3 linked regions of the Sus scrofa genome follow. The protein of the gene in region 3 interacts with the protein of the main gene of each other region in a biochemical or structural test. Links are inferred from orthologs where the notes say so. Each region holds a gene or a part of one and is shown on either strand. Other genes may lie near its edges. The genes, in order: CHML, APPL1 and RAB5A.

The links.
Region 1: the proteins of RAB5A (region 3) and CHML form a complex in vitro, tested with the Homo sapiens proteins (2 studies listed by BioGRID). The link is inferred for Sus scrofa from reciprocal best matches to the Homo sapiens genes RAB5A and CHML.
Region 2: the proteins of RAB5A (region 3) and APPL1 form a complex in vitro, tested with the Homo sapiens proteins (2 studies listed by BioGRID and IntAct, with this or other methods). The link is inferred for Sus scrofa from reciprocal best matches to the Homo sapiens genes RAB5A and APPL1.

What each region holds. Positions count from the first base shown.
Region 1 is NC_010452.4:11,834,432-11,838,182, reverse strand, and holds the start of CHML (rab proteins geranylgeranyltransferase component A 2), read right to left. Parts: upstream 2,712-3,751; 5' UTR 2,317-2,711; intron 1-2,316. UniProt on the Homo sapiens protein: Substrate-binding subunit (component A) of the Rab geranylgeranyltransferase (GGTase) complex. Binds unprenylated Rab proteins and presents the substrate peptide to the catalytic component B.
Region 2 is NC_010455.5:39,088,072-39,091,822, forward strand, and holds the start of APPL1 (DCC-interacting protein 13-alpha), read left to right. Parts: upstream 1-1,085; coding exon 1,086-1,139; intron 1,140-3,751. UniProt on the Homo sapiens protein: Multifunctional adapter protein that binds to various membrane receptors, nuclear factors and signaling proteins to regulate many processes, such as cell proliferation, immune response, endosomal trafficking and cell metabolism.
Region 3 is NC_010455.5:6,908,066-6,911,816, reverse strand, and holds the start of RAB5A (ras-related protein Rab-5A), read right to left. Parts: upstream 2,838-3,751; coding exon 2,675-2,837; intron 1-2,674. UniProt on the Homo sapiens protein: The small GTPases Rab are key regulators of intracellular membrane trafficking, from the formation of transport vesicles to their fusion with membranes.

The sequences.
Region 1 (3,751 bases), on a different chromosome or scaffold from region 3:
CTGCCAGCCTACACCACAGCTCACGGCAACGCTGGATCCTTAACCCAGTGAGCAAGGCCAGGGATTGAACCTGCATCCTCATGGATACTAGTCAGGTTTGTTACCAGCGAGCCACAATTTTCTAGTTGGCTTAGAAAATTCCTTCTGATTGGGGTGGGACCAGAGCAGGGATGATGAGAGAGAGAAAAAGGATGGAAAAGACGAGGAGACACATCAGGGTGGGGCTGCAAGATGGAACGGATGAGGAAGAGGGGGACGTTGGTACCAATAAAGACCCCAATACACTCGTCTCCAAGCTCCCGGGCACGGAGCTGGAATAGAAACAGAATTTACCAGCACAAAGTCTTTCTTGTAGATCAGAACTTTCACGTCTGTGACCCAGTATCTGCCACTGAGGATATGTCAGGCTCTGCATGAACGGCCCTCTTTAAACCTCAGCCTTGCCTGAACACTGCCGGCAGGCATCAGACATTAATATAAAGAGTGCAATCTACTGCATCTATAGCAACACCTACACACACCTATAGCTTCCTCCCAGGTTTCAAGTCTTATATAGTTGAAGTTCTCAGATTAATGTTTATTGGGAAAGGGTTGGTATTATTAGAATATCAGAATCACTGAGGCCATCAAATAAGTGAAATTATGATTTCTACGACATTTTCTTGTTTCCTGCAAAATATAAAAAAAGAGGGCTTCCCATTGTGGCTCAGCAGGTTAAGAGCTGGACGTAGTGTCTGTGAGGATGCGGATTCAATCCCTGGCCTGGCTCAGTGGGTTAAGGATCTGGCAACGCTGCAAGCTGTGGTGCTGGTCGCAGATGAGGCTTGGATCCAGTATTGCCTGGCTGTGATGTAGGCTGGCAGCTGCAGCTCTGATTCAACCCCTAACCTGGGAACTTCCATAGGCCACAGGTGCAGCTATAAAAAGGGAAAAAAGAAAAAAAAAAATATATATGTAGGTATGTATTAAGGAATCATAACATACATAATATTTGAGTTTGTTACCACATAGGTTAGTGATTATCAATATTTTGATAATGCTACAAAGGTTTTGCTCTTCTAAACCTGTTAAGATAAAAGCAGTAATAAATTATTAGGGATTTTAGGACTTTTTAAAAGGAAACTTACGACCTGAGAAATATACATTTCTATTTCAAATCTTTGTATAAGTGAAACTTCTGGACCACACACACAAAAATAGTTTCTTTCCCAAGCTTGGAAAAATCACATCTTCAATGACACGTTGGGTAGCTCGTCCTTTGAAATGTCAATCTCAGTGAGATTTAAATCTTCAATAGGAGTAAGAGTAGTTTTTTAAAAAATTTCAGGGAGTTCTCGTCATGGCGCAGTGGTTAACGAATCCGACTAGGAACCATGAGGTTGCGGGTTCGATCCCTGCCCTTGCTCAGTGGGTTAACGATCCGGAGTTGCCATGAACTGTGGTGTTGCAGACGCGGCTCGGATCCCACGTTGCTGTGGCTCTGGCGTAGGCCGGTGGCTGCAGCTCCGATTAGACCCCTAGCCTGGGAACCTCCATGTGCCGCGGGAGCGGCCCAAAAAATAGCAAAAAGACAAAAAAATAAAAAAATAAAAAATTTCAATTAACGATCAAGTTCTAGTTTAATGAAATCTACTGGCTGCATAGCTAATTATCTGTCCATTTCAGTAGGGGTTCTCTGAGCCATTTTTGCAATCTCGCCTTATATTTTGGTGTGGTGGAACCTATAAGGAGGAAAATATAGTAAAAATAGCTTATAGAGCACAATTTGCATTCTGAGGACCTGAATAAAACTATTTCACTTCCTAGAAAGCAAAGGTTTACAACTGATAATGAGCATTTTAAAAAAAAATTTACACATTGTTGCTATGTCAGATTTCTACCTCTCATTTTAGCAAAATAATATATGAATTAAATCACTTCTCATCACCCTCTCCAAGTTTCACAAATACTACCACTTTTTTTCTTGAAGTTCTTGACTTCACCCTCTCGTTTCTTTCCTCAAAGTGTCAAAACCACTGTCTCGGGCCCTACTGAATTAAATCAGGAGGTGAAAGCAGACAAGTGAGATGAGCTCCCGAGCAGGTGATTGAGGAGCTGCGGCAGCAGGCTGGGGTCTGGGTGGGCGAGGGGCCTGGGAGCACGGGGAGGGGCGGAGATCAGCGAGCGAGGAGGACCGGTGGAGGGAGTGAGGTCTGGGAGCGGATGAAGTGAGGCGGGGAGGCCGGAGGAAGAGATGTCGAGGCGGGGGAGGCGAGGTCAGGAGAGCACAGCCTCTAGGTCGGGGCGCAGAAGGAGGCGGTCTCCGCCGGCACTCACCCTACAGGCTGCTGATGAAGCCGTCTCACGCACCATCCGCGCCGCCCCTCTGTGGGGCGCGAAAGCCACCGCGGCCGCGAGAACGGAAGGCAGCAGGTGGCGGAGGCTAACGATGAGCAGGGGGCGCCCGGCGAAGCGGGGCTGCGGAGCCGCTGGAATTTGAAGTAGAGGACGAGCAGCAGCAGGATGCTTCCGGCGCAGCAGTGCCCCGCACCCGTAGTCGCCCCGATAGGCGGCGTGAGGGCCCCACGGCGCCCTCGCCGCCCCGCCACCTCTCTGGGTGTGCACGCCAGGCGCCGGCGCGCACCGCTCTGGTTGGGGCTCTGCGCGGGGCTCTGCGCACTCAGAGGTCCCCGTCGCCCCTTTCTGCCCCTGCGCAGACCGCTGACGCCGCTCGTAACCCCGCCCCTTCCCGCCCTGTAGCCCCGCCCCTACCCCCTCCCTACCGTAACCCCGCCCTTTCCCTCCCTGTAGCCCCGCCCCTACGCCCCTCCCAGCCGTAACCCCGCCCCCTAGCGCCCTGTAGCCCCGCCCCGGAGCACCTCCCAACCTTAACCCCTCCCCTGCTCGCTGTCCAAGCTGCTTCCTGATTCGCCGGGTCCTCTCCCCACGCCCTGAGGTCCCCAGTAACCCGCCACCGCCGGCACAGTCCGTGGGGGCCTGGAGGCAAAGCATCGCCGGGGGCTCCTCTCTCCGCAGCCCTCCTCACCCAGCTGGAAGGGCTCTCCTCTTTCCCCACTCACTCCCTCATTAAGGACCATTTATGGCAGGATCCTTTGGCTTCTCCCTCTCCGGGAAGCTGTTACTACCCGCTCGCGTACTGCACACTTGAGGTAAGCCCCGGCTGCACCCCAGGCCTGCTCATTTTGCCCTTGCTGTCCTCCATGCAGGGGCGCTGTGGCGACTGAGGCGGCGCCCTCGAGCTCCAGCCCACATCTCGCAGTTGCAGAGAGGTGGGTGCTATACCTGGGGCAGCACCTCTGGCCTTTTACCCAGTGAAAATAGAGGGCAAGGCAAGCATAGGTCCCGGAACTGACCGTAGTCTTTGCGGGGTGCACAGTCCTGAGCTGGTCCTACAGGCTGTCCTGGGCGCCGCTGGCCAGCACTGTGCCTGTGCAAGGGCGAAGGAACTGCCCTCCACGAGGGAGTGTGTCTCCCACCTCCATTAGAAGATCCCTAGAAAATTGCTAGCTTCACTGAACCCCGGTTTTGTGGGCCTTGGAGATATAATCTAATTGTCAAGACAAGGTTACTTCCTATCATGGTGCATGGAGCAATAGCTGGTGATTTTTTCTTAAGGCTTCCGATCTGGACTTGTCCTCTAGGGGACTCACCCACCCAGTCCTTTTAAAAACTCTAATTTTATATTTTAGATTTATACAACCATTTAACAAGCTCTGTGCCTAATATCCGTTGTGTTTACAACATGTGCCTA
Region 2 (3,751 bases), about 32 Mb from region 3:
TCTGTATAATGATTTTTCTAAAAGAATCTGTATGGCTTCTTATAACCCTACAGAAGAACAAACAAGGCAGTGTGAGGTTGGGAAAAATGATAAAGAGGCAGATCTAATACAGATCAAGTTCTAGAGTGGAGCTTCACTTTTCTCTCCTTTAAAAAAATTAGAGGCTGAAGAAGCGATCTAAAGATTCTTCCAAAACTTTAACAGAAATGCGAATCAGTTATTAACATAATAAACCAGTGTACCTTGATTTTCAAGAGATGCCTTCATTTGTGATTAAAAAAGTAAATAAATAAAGTCTGAATTGCGGCGTGTCAGCCTCTCAAGGCCAGGTAAGAACCGATGAACTAGCAACAAAGGCGTGCTCTTAACTGAAAATACTGATACCCAAGTGCCCAGAAAAAAAATCTTTTCTACTGTCCAAGAATTACCGGGAAGTCAGGTTGACACAACTTCAGATCTCCCAGACATCTGAGTTAGCCAGCACCATTTTGTTGGAGAAGGGAGACTGGAAGCTTGGGGCAGGGTTTGTAAAATTATAATTTAAGGAAACTAAAGAAGGCGCCGGCAGTGAGGCCTCCTTCATGGTCTCTGATGAAAAATGGTGGGGGATACGTAAAACTGCCCTAGGTTCCCGACTGTGGTCCTCACTCTAGGTTCCTAGGGACGCACGGGGAAGACTGTCTACTACACTTCACACCCCTACGCGAGCAGCCAGGGTAGGTGCTCGAGGTGTGCAAGCTGCTCCGCTTTCGACCCCTCAGCGCCGCCTTTACCGCCTCCACCGACTCCACTGTCTCCTAGGCCCGTGATCTGCGCAGAGCTCAACGCGGGGGAGCCTCCCTCCAACCCCCCACGCTGACCGACATCGCCGCGAACCAATAAGCGAGTGGGGAGGTGGGGCAGGCAGTCCAAGGGGGCGGGATTTCCCTCACCGCCGCGAGGCCTCTGGGCGCCAGGCGAGGGCGGCAGAGCCAGCTAGAGAGGGCGGGTCGGGGTCAGCTGCTGAAGGCAGGCGGGCGTAGGGAGCTGTGGGCGGTCGCCGCGTCTCCTGCCGCCGCCCTCCCTCCCTCCCTCCCTCCGCCACGATGCCGGGGATCGACAAGCTGCCCATCGAAGAGACGCTGGAGGACAGCCCGCAGGTAAGGCGCGGGCAGCGGCGGGCGGCGAGGGAAGGAGCGGGGCCGGCCGACCCCAGGCCTGGCGTCTACGCGGCCGCAGGTGCCCGCCCTGGTCCAGGTGGGCGCCGTCCCCCAGTGTTCCCGCTGGTCGCGGGCCGCGCCCGGAGCCGCCGAGCCAGAGCCGTCCTCCCGAGGCCCGTCTCGGCCTGCGCCCCTAAGCCGAGAGCCGCGCGCGGGGTCTGGGACGTCCGCGGGCAGCGACTGAGCCGCCGTCGCCTTGGCTCGTGGGCCCGGCGGTCACGTACGCCCTCGGGGCTCCCTTGTATTTGACAGAAGGTGCTTTTTTGTCGCCGTCTTGTGAGGTGATAAATCTCAATACTGGTATTTTCCCCCGAAAACCTCCTCGGAGAAAATGCAGAAAAGACCCTGTAGACTTCATGGTTTCTGACCAAGCTAGGGGAGGAAATGGATAGTTTTTCTTGGGGAGATGCTGAAAGACTCTTGATTTGCCGGTGTGGAGAGGGCAAAGCCGGTCACGGGTCCCAGAGCCTCCCGTGGCCGTGTCTTGGCGGTGAGTGTAGCCGCTGTCACTCGGGCTGTGCACGCCGAGTGATGGACGGCGCCTTTGAGGCTCCACCACTGCTGCGCCCTCGTTGCAGACTTGGCCCTAATCAACTCATCAAAATAAAAGCCCTGTGTTTTGTGCTTTGGGGATGATGCTAGTGCGGTTGCTGTAGTTTAAAATAATCTAGGAAAACATAACCATTACTTAATGTTTTCGGTACTGAAGAATGAAATCAGCTATAGTAAAAACATGTTATGTTGGTGGGGCCTGTAACTTGCATTGAGAAACTTATCGCTAGGCCTGTCTCTTACACAGTAGGGGTTTAAGATGATGTTGCTGTTTGGCTACCACTTAGAATGAAGAAAATTTTCTGAAATGTTGTTCCCTTAGAACTGCAGTTGCACATATTTCTCGAGTCTTTGACAGTTTAATAGGACTCGAAAAGAAGGGGAGGAAGGGACTAGATCCCCCTTTTCCTGTATGATACGTCTGCCATGGATATTGTGCTAGTTTTGATTGCCAAGTTGAAGTTGGGTTCTGATTGTGGAATTGATTTGTTTTTTTCACAGCGAAAGTTATCTTCACAGACCAGTTGACTGCTGGTAATGTACTCTTATCCGCCTATGTTGACAGAGAGAAACCCACTTCTTGACTTCCAGAATAGATGGTTCAAATGCTTCATGATTTCTGTAGTATAAAGTTATAAGCTACATTTGTTTCAAATGTTTAGCAGAAATTTTATGGGATGTATTGGTCAGGTGCACTTTGTCATTTTATTTTATAAGACTCAACAGGTTGCCTTGCCTTTTTTCTCTTACCTGGCCTGGTTTTTATAGCTCATAAAGACTACAGACTACTCAGAATGGGTTGCACAGTGCCCTAGCCATGACTTAGGAGGGTGTAATCTCTTGACTCATCTAATTTCTTGAACTCTTCACACAATTAGTTTACAATTTGAGCATTAAGTGTTTTCCTTCTTTTATAAGCATGTGCCATATTGGTATTAGTTTTATGGTAATTTTTAATGAGATAGCCACATTGGTATTCTTTTAATTTTAGGAATAATAAATTTGAACTTAATATTTATTTGGGAAATTAATTGGGACGGCTGTGGTTTAGAAAGGGAAGCAATTCTTGGGGCAAAATAGAACACCCTGGATTCAGGATATAAGGGTTTTAGTCTTTACTGCCACTTAATACCTTCTGTTTTAGAGCAAGTCACTTAACTTCTCTGAACCGCAGCTGTTATATAGATAGTAAGTATTTTAATCCCTGTACCTGATTATAAAAATAATAGTTGTTTACTTCAGAAAAATTGGAAGGTACAGAGAAGTTACCTGTCATGTACCCAGCAGCAAACTGTTAACAGTTTGCTTTCTTTTTTCTAGTTTTTTTCTGTTACACATTTTAATGTGATTGAAATTATATTATGCATAACAATTTTTATTTGGCTTAACATTGTAGCTTAAGTGTCTTCATACATTATTACAAACTGAATAAAAATTTTAAAAGTTGCATGTTTCCTTGACTATTTTCAGTCAGTTGTCCTATTGTTGGTCTTAGAGAGTTTTCCTCAAGTTTTGCTTTTATATATAGGGCTGAGATTAAAACTTCTGGACATAAGGTTTTATTCTCATCTGAACTATTTATTTAGGACAGAGTCCAAGAAGTTGCGTAATAACTAATAACGAAGAGTAGGAAAACTTTTTAAAGCTTCTGATTAGATTATCTGATCCTAATCAAAAGTGGTCTGTGAGTTGCTATGTAAAAAATTAGAGCCTGGGAGTCATGAAAGACTACCCTGGATTACATTTATCCTTTTTTAGTTTTAATTTACAGAACTAAGTATTAAAATAGGAGTATATTTGCAAGTTCAAATCCAGCTGATCAAACATAAACATTTTTAGAATTATCTTGCCCAAACCGTACCATTCTGCAGAAGTCAGCATCTATGGAAGTAGAAAATCTTAAAACTGTACTAGATGCCTTGTCCATGCTTATATATTGTTCTGAAAACCAGAAACAAAATGATACTTTCTAATTAGTAGGAGTGGATATGATCTTTAAA
Region 3 (3,751 bases):
ATGAAATGTAAAACATCTGGCCAGATTCATTTTTAAATAATTCCTATCACACATCAAGCAAAACAAAAATACATATTACCCACAAGTTATAGACATAGCTCAAACTCTGAAATTCTTAAATGCTTACAATCTTCTCTAGTCCTTAACAGTGAAGAGTTGCTAGCAAAGAGCCTAAAACAGTGCTCACTTTGTAAATAAATCAAATCAATATGTCTTATACCTTACACAGTATTATGCCAATTATATCTCAAAAACAAACAAAAAACCAAGGCTCACAGCTGTTATCATGACACTATCATCATACCTCCTGAAGGTATTAATATGTGGTCAACATAGTGAACAAATATCCAACAACCATTAACATAGAAATTTGGATATAAATTTCTTTTAAAGTTGGTTTAAAAAGTCAGACTCAATCTGTACAAGTAGAAAATATTAGGGAAGTTTTGTGTTAGAATGAAAACCTCTGACAGTCTCCTAATGAAATGCAGACACTCTAATTGATATTAAATGGAAATGGAGATTATATATATGTATGTATAGATTCCAACTATCTCATTATACACCCCCCCAACACACATATCAGAGGATATGAGTATTTTTGTGATGATGCATTGATAAGGAGTTAAACTTTTCTTTTAAATGTCTTTCTTGAGAAGTCATTAGGAAAAAATATACTTAGAAGATAATTTGGGAGTATCCAAAACAAAAACAAAAATTCTAATGTAGGTTCCTGCATAGTTTCCCAGGAATTGAATTGTTTACTATAGTACTTCGGTGTTTTATTATTTTAGTATGTACTATGAAGCAAGGAGGTAAGCACATAGCAAGTCTCAAACATATCTGGTCTGGGTATTTAGCCTATAGCGCATATGAACTTTGGAAAATGCTGCAATTGACAATCACTTGCCAAGAAACAGTTATAATAACTAATTTGTTGCACCAGTTTAAGGTGGTAGATATAACCTTAAGGTCTTTAAAACTCTTTCCACTATAAGGGCTAGATAGCTTTGGCCCAATCTGTTTTCTGAAGGAGACTAAAGCTTGTGAAGTAATATTTCATTACGAAAACAGATATATATATATATGTACACACAACTGTATTACCAAAGAAATCACAAAGAATGTGTGATATGCTGTTCATTATAATTTTTTAAAATATCAAGATTTCTGACTCAAAATAAAAGTTGTGCCATATGGACTATATATATTTTTAATGCTCATCTACTATAAAAACAAACTAAACGGGGATCACACGGCAATGGGATATACAAATGCAGGGGGTTGACAGCCACTATTATACTGCTGAATCTAGGGAAAACACCACTTATCTGGTATATTTTTCTATATGTAGGGAAAAGCCAGGAGACAGCAGAGTTCTATAATTTATCTTACTGGGAAGATCTGAAACTATAAATTCTCAAGCATTACGTACTTGAGAACATACATTCAATGCACAGCATAAAGTTATGTTTCTGAGATATGGACTCCAAAGAGTTGCTATATGCCCATGGCTATCTGTCTTAATGTATTTCAAAAGTCTGATTTTTTAAAAAGTATGAAGTATATTCATGAACACCTGAAAAAATATAGTACTGCTTAATTACACATCCCTTCCTTACAAAATATTGTAAGTCTTAAAACTGTGTTTCTTCGGACATCATCTAATTCAAAAGCATCATTTGACAGATGAGTCTCGAGGCCAAATGAGACTATTCTGCACTGCTATATACAGTTGTGTATTTCTTTGGTTACACTCTAACTTCTTGTCTTCTACTGACAATGCTGCACTGTGAATTGTCTCCTCTTTGTCTTGCATTTCCCTCTCCCCTCACCTCAGTCTAGCTACAACCACCTCTTTCCCCTCTTCTTTCATCTTTCTTTCCAGGCCCCACTTCCCTTTCAGTCTGTCTCCATCGATCACTTTTTCTCTTCCCTTGCCCTAGAATTCTTAAACGGGTTTAATAAAATTTAATTAATTTTACAAATAATCGTAACTTATAAATAGTCCATTTAGAATTAGAATTTTAACACTGACTTTTACTATTTTCACTATTTATTCTTTTTTTTCTTCTTCTTCTTGTGTTTTTGCCTTTTCTAGGGCTACTCCTGCAGCACATGGAGTTTCCAGGTTAGGGGTCTCATTGGAGCTGTAGCTGCGGGCCTACACCAGAGCCACAGCAATGTGGGATCCAAGCAACGTCTGAGACCTACACCACAGCTCATGGCAACGCCATATCCTTAACCCACTGAGCAAGGCCAGGGATCGAACCCGAAGCCTCATGGTTCCTAGTCAGATTTGTTAACCACTGCCCCACGACGTGAACTCCTATTTTCACTATTTATTCTAAAGACAATATAATTCAGCATAAACGTATTAATCTGAAGAAGCTTCTAATCATTATCTAGAAAAACAACAGATCAAATCCTACACTTGTAAAACTGATTCTACTCATGTCTGCATCTATATTTTAGTTTCCATACAACCATCCCATGGATAACCAGGAACTCAAATATTAAAAAACATTAATAAAAATCAAGTCATAAAGCTTGAGTCTGCTGAACAGGTCTTTTCTTCACTGTGATCTATTTAGGTACTCATCATCTTACTGCAAAATTTTATTTGTCAATGTATGATTCAATTAAATTAAGAAAGGATAAAAGAAAATCTCACCCCCAATGGTACTCTCTTGAAATTCATGAAATTGGCCCTTCACAAAACGAAGCACTAGGCTTGATTTGCCAACAGCAGACTCTCCCAGAAGTACTAGTTTAAACTGGCATATTTTATTTCCAGTATTTGGCCCGTTGGGTCTTGTTGCTCCTCGATTAGCCATGTCCAAATGTGAAACAAGTCCCTAACTTCAGTCTCTTATATGAACTTCCAGGATGCAAGGTGACAATTTTTTTCTTTCTGGAGGTAAAGAAACCTAAAAAGAAACAAATATTAAGTAATTAAATATACAAATCAGCAAAACAAATCTAATTATTAATCACTGTAGTAAATTTTGGCTATATTATTGTATGACAATTATAACCTTTACTGAACACTGAATGCCATTTACTTTAATTCTCTCCCTTTGTTAAGAAAATAGTGTAGGAGTTCCCTTGCAGTGCAGCAGGTTAAAGATCCGGTATTGTCACTGCAGCAGCTTGGGCTGCTGCTGTGGCATGGAATTGATCCCTGGCCTGGGAACTTCCACAAGCTGTGGAGGTGCAGTCAAAAAGAAAAAAGAAAAGAATGAAAAGAAAATAATGCAAAGGCATAAGGTCTGAGCCTAAAATTTTCAAGTCTCTAAAAAAATTTTAAAGCTAACCTTTCTTAAAGACTCAACTTTGTGTCCAATGGTTTTAAGTACTTAATACTGCCATTCAACAATCCCATAAAGTTGACTATTACAATCTTTAAAAATGAGGAAAAGAGGCACAGAGAGGTTGAGTAACTTGACTGAGGTCATATAGTTACTGTGACAGAGCTTCAACAGAACTGAGTTTCGAACCCAGGCAACCTGAGAGATGACTCAAGAATTCAGGTTCTGGAACTACACTTAGGTTAAAAGTTTTAAGTAAAATTCTAGAACACAGTTAAGATCTCAATAAATGTTGACCATCATTATTTGAAGATTAAACGGCACTTTTTTTTTTTGTTTTAATGGTACATTTTTTTGTTTAATTAACTCTGGAGCAACAAATATTCTAAGTCTCTCAGGTTTGTGTGGCTGGTGGCTAAAGGACTTAAACCTGTTTTCTC